Linked DNA regions of Drosophila melanogaster. The protein of the gene in region 1 interacts with the protein of each later gene in a pairwise test. Each region holds a gene or a part of one and is shown on either strand. Other genes may lie near its edges. The genes, in order: CG9706 and CG13245.

Region 1 (3,927 bases):
AAGGGGAACTTGGCCCCTATGCAGAGCCTTTATGGGGCCAAATAGGCGCCGAAAGTTCACATTATTTCACAAGGTTCGCTCTTTTGTATGAAAACCAAATACAACCTTTTGAAATAGTAAAAGAATAGCATGGAAGCTTGTAATTTCTAAAGCAAAAGCTTTCTATAATGTTTTAAACTGCATTTGTTGAATTAGATGAGCAAACATAATGAAACAAACAGTAATTAGTAATCGAACATGGAACACTTTATTGGTTCCACATTTACATTTAATATATTTATTTTTATGTGTATATACTTATAAATATTTTTATAACCGTAAGGACCATTTTTTTTGAAAGTTTAAATTTGTAAACCCCATACTTTTTCAATTATTTCATTGTACATACATACATACATTCAGAAATCAGTCGCTGCCGAATTTATAAGCTCTCGGAACCCTTTCGAACATAATCCACGTACTTAAATTCTTCCCCCTCATATCCCCATGCGCATCCTCCATTGATTAACTTGTCTCTTCCTGCTTAATTCTTTTCCCAAACGCTGCCAAAACGCAAACACGCGCAAACTCAAAATAACGCTGAAAAAACATAGCTCCGCTCGGGCCTTGGAAAATCCGGTTGTGACCGGTATGGTGAAATCCTTCAGCCGCACCAAAGGACACGGCTTCATTACACCCAACGCCGGCGGAGAGGACGTTTTTTGCCACGTTTCCGAGTAAGTGAATGAATATTGCATGCGCGGCGACCTTTGCGCTGGCTCTGTAAGACCTACAAAAATGTAATCTTCCCACAGCATCGAAGGTGAATATGTGCCCATGCCCGGGGACGAGGTCAAATACCGTCTGTGCGCCATTCCGCCCAAGTATGAGAAGCACCAGGCCGTGCACGTGCAGATTAGCCACCTGACGCCGGAGGTGCACCACAAGTGGGAGGAGCCATTCTATGGTGGCTCCTCGCCCGCTAAGTAAAGCTGAAGCTTGTGGCCCTGGGAGATTTCGAAGCTCGGAAGCGGAAAAGTGTGTTGTTAAAAGCTGAACGGCCTTCCAAGAAATTTAATTGAGCTAGAGCACGCCACCCGAGATGAACGAAACGGAAAACCGGAACAGAACAATAACCATGAAAGTAAACGAAAGCACAGCAATCGAAGCAGCCAGGAAAAAGCCGAAACCAGACCAGAACGTAATAGAATGGAACAACAGGCCTGCCATCCAGCCAGCCAGCGAGCAGCATCACAAGAGTTTCAATTGAACACTTAATTAGAATTTAAGCTAAGCTATGGAAGTCAAACAAAACGCAGTCACAAATATTGCCTTTCCCTCTGGAAGAGGGGAGAGCAACCGCAACCAGTTTCGAGTATATTATTAAAAGCGCGTATGTATTTGGAAATTGAAATTGTTATTCGAGAAGCCACTAGCACAGCGCCTGCGATGCTGTGGTGCCCTGTATCAGTAATTACTTTTAATTATAACAAAACATCTGAATGTGTTCGCGAAGCAAACAAGCAAAATGCTCTCAGTAATTCACTTTATTATTAAAACAGCTGCAAAACAATTCCATCGGTGATTTTTCTGGAGTGGCGTGGGAGTTATCAGCATGGAGTGTGTATTGTACGCACAATTGCGGTCAGCATAATAGCCGCTTGCTTGTATGTGTTCTAATAAAATTTTATGCAAAATTATTAATCTTACGTTTTTATTACGGCATCTAAATGTTCATTTTAGATATTAGCTAATGTCTGATTGTAATATCACGATATTCATAACATGGCAAAATATTGTTTTAGCCGCAGCTGTAACTTGTATTTAATTTAGTGGTGTATCTTATCTGCAGTGAAAGCAGATACTTTTTGCAGCCCAAAGCATACATGAATTTTTGGCTCACTATTGAAAATATATTTCCTGCGTTCTGCAGAAAATCGAAACCGTAACATATTCAATAAAAAAAAACCAACCTTTTTGCCACAATAGATACCTAAAGATTTCCGCCCGCTAAATTTATCAAGTAGAGCCATAAATAGCCAAACCAACTCATACTCCTAAAATTATGGATTTCCATTTCGTAAGTCTCCCGCCACTCAGTTTGAATTTCGAATGATTAGTGTGACCATGCGGCGGTTTATAGCAACTGCATGCGTAGTGCGACAGAGAGTTGCTATAAAAATATATTGGAACGTCAACAAACATATGCCACGAAAGAAAATATTCCGATTCAACGGAAAATGAATTAATTAAAGACCGAACTGGCAGATATTCAGAAAGCCATTCGATCGTACATTTAACCAAATTAAAGGCATCGAGGGAATTGTATCGGGAAAATACGTAAAAAGCTCTACATTTGAGTGACGTGGTGTTATTTGTTGGTGATTAGAAAAACAGGTGAGCCTGTGGCCCCCAAACTAGCATGTCTTTATAATATATACCTATCGCTATTTGATCAGCATGTCCGCCATAAGGAGAAAGCCAACGGGCAGCAATGCCGACCAGGAGTTGCTCATCGACGAGCCACCAAAGTCGGAAAAGGTGGCGGAGCACCAGAAACCAGATATTCGTGGAGACCGGAGGAATATAGCCATACTGCTGTTCCTGTACGTTCTACAGGGCATTCCCATCGGGCTCATAGCAGCCATACCAATGTTGCTGCAAAATAGAGGAGCTAGCTACAAACAACAGGCGGAGTTTTCATTCGCCTACTGGCCATTCAGCTTAAAGCTGCTGTGGGCTCCAATTGTGGATTCCCTGTACATCCGGCGATTTGGACGCCGGAAATCGTGGCTAGTCCCAGTGCAATACCTTCTGGGAGCCTTTATGTTACTCCTCTCCCTCCACGTGGATCGCTGGCTGGGCGGGAACGGTGTCGATCCCAATGTGCCGCTCCTGACGCTGCTCTTCTTCCTGCTTAACTTCCTGGCTGCCACTCAGGACATCGCCGTGGATGGCTGGGCCTTGACCATGCTGAAGCGATGCAATGTTGGATACGCATCCACCTGCAATAGCGTGGGCCAAACAGCTGGCTACTTCTTGGGCTATGTGGTGTTCATTGCCCTGGAGTCCAAGGATTTCTGCAACACCTACATAAGAGACGTGCCACTCGAGGATGGCATGATCACATTGCCCCGTTTCCTTTGGTTCTGGGGCATTACATTTGTGGTAGCCACTACTTTGGTGGCAATTTTCAAGAAGGAGAACGACATCGAAGACGCGCATATGGACGCTCGCTACACGGAGGAGCACGAGTTGAACATCCATGAGAGCTACAAGATATTGTGGGACATGGTGTGCATGCGTCCCGTCCAAATTCTGGCTGTAATTCTGCTCACCGTGAAGGTCACGTTCGCAGCCTCTGATGCAGTGACCAGCTTAAAACTCATTGACGCTGGTGTACCGAAGGATAAGCTGGCTTTACTCGCCATTCCCCTAATTCCTCTGCAGCTCATTCTGCCGCTGGCGGTCGGTCGATATACGAACGGACCACGTCCGATGGACGTCTATCTGAAGGCCATTCCCTATCGCATCATCATGGCAACAGTGGCCACTGGCTTGGCCTACATCACACCCTATATTGTCCGTGGAGGAGCCGTGCCTGCTTATTACTACGTCCTGCTGATCACCAGTTATGCCATCTACCAAGTATTCCTGTACTCCATGTTTGTGGCCGCCATGGCCTTTTTCGCCAAGATCTCCGATCCAGCCGTCGGTGGCACTTACATGACATTTTTGAACACATTGTGCAATCTGGGCGGTAATTGGCCCAACACAGTGGTGTTGTGGTTGGTGGACGTGCTCACCTGGAAGCAGTGCTCCAATAATGCGGAAAATACCTGCCAGGGCAAGGAGGAGCAACAGGTGAGTGCTCAGAGAGAGATTCTACAGCATACAAGATTATTATTATTATTGTATATGGATACATATGTATGGTGAAAGTTTTAC
Region 2 (3,846 bases), on another chromosome or scaffold:
AAAATTTTGCAGGCGCACAAAAGGCACGGCTTGGAGTTGAAGTTTCTAAAATATTGCGTGTAAATATATTGGAAAAAATTATTTATTCCCATTGAAAAGTGGTCTGTAGCCAATAACTAGACTAAGAAATATCATGCTAATTGAAAATTTTTATCAGACCATTTGCGTTTTTGTTTTTGAGCTTCCTTATCAAAACTAATGTATTGGTTTGTGAACCAAATTACATTGAGGTTTAATTAAAAAAGAAATTTATGGCTAGGAGCGCGTCAATTTGTTTTCAACTGTGGCAGTTTTTAAACGAAAATATTTTGGTGACTGGAACCGTTGTCAAAAAGTTCGTTCAATTGACCTGTCTTCGCTATTCAAGCGTGGCTAAAAAATACAACCGAATAGCTGAACAAAAACTGTCAGATCCATGACCTACATAAGTACGTCGTGTAACCAAATAGATTGGAAGGTTTTCGAACGAATATTTTGTTTTTCCCCTGCATTCGCTTCGTATGCAAAACCAAAACAAGCAGCTTTCAGATTTTGACCATTTTTCCATTGTTTTGCTAGTCTCTCGAATGGAAACTTTTGCCTGCCCATTTCATTCGTTTTTTGCGGGCTAGCTAACAAAAGTTCGAATGTTAAATGATTTTCATGGCGCAAACTTTGGCAACCCTGAAACTGGACCCCGGTCATTTGTTAGCCTGTCAGAAAGGCAACAAAAATGGGCGCAAATATGCAAGTCTGGCTGACACGTGAATTTATTGCATTCAAAAATATGAAAAGTTCCAATAAAAAGTGCAACAACAGGGTACTACAGGGTATTAGTACAGCGGGCCAAAGCAGCCCCATTCCCAGCAATTTTTGCATTTGTTCGGCACAAAATAGAAAGGTGGCGCACAACCGCCGCTGCAACATCCGCAGTTGCAGGTGCATTTCATGCAGGGCAGCAGGGGACCCACGGGGCCGTAGGTCAAGCGGTACGAGACCACGGCACAGGGCGGTGGGCCACAGCATCCGCCACTGGATCCACCACATGAACCGCCACATGATCCGCCGCAGGATCCGCCGCAGCATCCTCCTGTACCGCCCCTGCAACAGGAACCACCAACACAGCAGGATCCACAGCAGCCACCTCCGCCGCAGGGCTTACAACCAGACCCACAGGATCCAAACTGCGGTCGGCATCGCGGTGCAGCACAACTCATCCTAGAAATTACTTAGCCCTTTGCAACCTGTTGCTAAGTACTTGCCGCTAAAAAAAATGCTAAATACTCCGGGGCAGTGATGGACAGTCAGCTCACAGCTCCAGGCGCCTATTTAGCACCTTTTTTGTCCGCCAATAGTCACAAGTCCACTGGGAAAATTTTATAATTCCTGTCGAATAAAAACTCTTGCAGTTTCCTCAAGTATTTACTGGAAAAGTGACACCAAAGGCAAGGATACATGCGGTTGAAAACATTTTAAATTAGAATCGTATCGAATAAACATATATTGGAGACTAAGTAATTCCATGTATAATTTGCAATTTATATGGTAACTTAACGATTTTTCTTCCTATAAAAGTCTATAAAAGTACTTTTATTCCATCACTCTATTTTTGTCACCAAAACATTGCAATTAAAATTACATCTCAATTACACATCCTGCCTTGCGGTACCATTTAAAACCGACGTATGGTCGCTAGGAATATCCAACCAGAACCACCACGCTTCGTCGAACCCATGTCCTCTCAGTTACATTTGCACAGTTGACCATGCGTGGGTTTGTCTACTAGATCCTCACATGCAGACACCCTCTTACATGGCCTCTGGTCCGTCGGGAGATATTGTAATTGATTGTCTCCGCCTGGATGAATAGGAGTTGGATTGAAGTATCATGGACCGGAGTGGCAAAAACTTTCATCACGGTTCGTTATTCGGCGGATAGAAATTTGCATCGCCAACGGTCCGAGTTAAAACTCGTGGTAGAAGTAATAGAATTATGAAGTTGTTCTGAACAGTATGCAATCTCGTACTTTATTTTGTAACGCTTACTTGATTGGTTGTGTCACAGAGAACACCAATAGAGTAATTTAATTTATATATTCCCACAACATGCCATAATATGGTATATATGATTGAAGATCCCGGCTAAGGGCTTCCAAAATGTAGTTCACTTCAGCATCAGGGTGCCATCCACTCTCTCGTTCCGATTTAGCCAGCTTTCATTTTAGGCCAGATATCCAAAGCGTAGTCTAACCCGAGGGCGGCGTCGATGAGATTGTCAATAGCTGTCAGAGCGAAAAATCGCCTTTGCTCCCTGGGAAACCCAATCCACTTCAGTTCCTTTTCCACTTCGGCACCAAACACTCGATTTTGTGTCTGCTCCAGGGCCAATAACTATACACCCCACCCAAAAAAAAAAAAAACAATAGTAAAAAGAGCACACGTTTCGGAAAACCTAAACCAAGTCAAGATGTGTGGTGGCTGGGCCTGTGCCTCCTACAATATCGCCTGCTGCAATCCCCGCCTGTCGACACTGCGATTCTCTGGCCGCTGTTTCGCACCCACGCCCTGCGGTCCATGTGATGACTGTTCCATTTACGGCGGTTGCTGCGGTGGCTGCTGCGGGTGCTAGGTGATCTCTGACCTGGAGTAGCCACAGAGTTGGGTGGAGAGTCCGGAATTCAACTATCTTGAAGTAGGCCTTGGGAACTGTTGGCTGTCAGCCATGAAACAAATATCATTCAGTCCCAGTCCAGTCCTTGTCGGAACAACAACCTTAAACGTTCACCGGGGTAAGTTTCATTTATGCTTTTATAAAATTTTATTTAAAAATTTTATTTTTAATCATTCACATTTCCATATAGTTCCCACATCCGTTTCCTAACCATGTGTGGTGGCTGGGCTTGTGCCTCCTTTGACCTGGCCTGCAATAATCCTCCCTTGTCAACACTGCGTTTCACCGGTCGGGACTTTATACCCACGCCCTGCGGTCCTTGCGATAAGTGTTATGTTCTAGATACTAGCCGCAAGAAGAACACCAACAACTGCTATGTTCCGCACATCCTGTCTCCACTGGATGCGCAGCTCTGCACACTGGCGAGTACTCAGAAAAAAAAGGAAGACGAATAAACGCCAGGAGGAAATGCGGTCTTATACTACTAAAATTATCAGTGTAGATCTTCTTGTACCAGCCATTTCCATGGGAAACCAATAAAAATTTGAGGGACTAATACTGACTAAGTAAGTTTGTTCCTTAGTTAGAGATCTTGTACCTACGCTGTCGCGCCTAATTATTTTCATATTTTTCCTATCGGTATCCTGGTCCTGGTAAAACTGTCGACAATTTTAGTATATTTTTTTTTAAAGGAATATTAAATTTGAGCCATACAATTTCAAGAACCATTAGAGAAAGAATTATACCTCATGGTATACTTAGGATACTCAATCCTAGTAAGATTGTGCTATCTAGGATTTTGGTATATTTTCTTATTTTTCATATACGTATCAATGGAATATGAAATTTCTCAAGAAATTTGACAAATAGTAAATAAGAAGTTACTTGTTTAAGTACATTAATTTATTGAAAAGCTCGAACCATTGTGTAAGTGAAAATGTGGTTCAAACCAAAAGCACAAAAAAATTTCACGTCGTTTTCTTCAGGAATTGTCGTACCTTGGGTTTCTCAGTAAAAAGGCCCAAAGCAACCCCATTCGCCGGCACAACAGCACCTGTTAGGAGGACATGTCCAGGGACCACAGGGAGGATTGGGTCCACAGCAGCAGTTATTATAGTTCATGGCTGGCAGAGCGGGTCCGACGGGGCCATAAGCCAGGGCATAGGATACCGATCCACAAGCTCCTTGGCAACACAT

The links.
Region 2: the proteins of CG9706 (region 1) and CG13245 interact in a two-hybrid assay, tested with the Drosophila melanogaster proteins (one large-scale study listed by BioGRID).

The regions. Positions count from the first base shown.
Region 1 is NT_037436.4:16,780,870-16,784,796, forward strand, and holds the start of CG9706 (uncharacterized protein), read left to right. Parts: upstream 1-2,140; 5' UTR 2,141-2,376; intron 2,377-2,386; exon of another isoform or gene 2,387-2,438; 5' UTR 2,439-2,439; coding exon 2,440-3,843; intron 3,844-3,927. Other genes in the region: CG9705 (uncharacterized protein), read left to right, coding at 594-716, 795-969.
Region 2 is NT_033779.5:16,002,249-16,006,094, forward strand, and holds CG13245 (uncharacterized protein), read left to right. Parts: upstream 1-2,076; 5' UTR 2,077-2,445; coding exon of another isoform or gene 2,446-2,607; 5' UTR 2,608-2,767; intron 2,768-2,839; 5' UTR 2,840-2,861; coding exon 2,862-3,104; 3' UTR 3,105-3,213; downstream 3,214-3,846. Other genes in the region: CG34167 (uncharacterized protein), read right to left, coding at 813-1,196; CG43816 (uncharacterized protein), read left to right, coding at 2,446-2,607; CG31820 (uncharacterized protein), read right to left, coding at 3,658-3,846.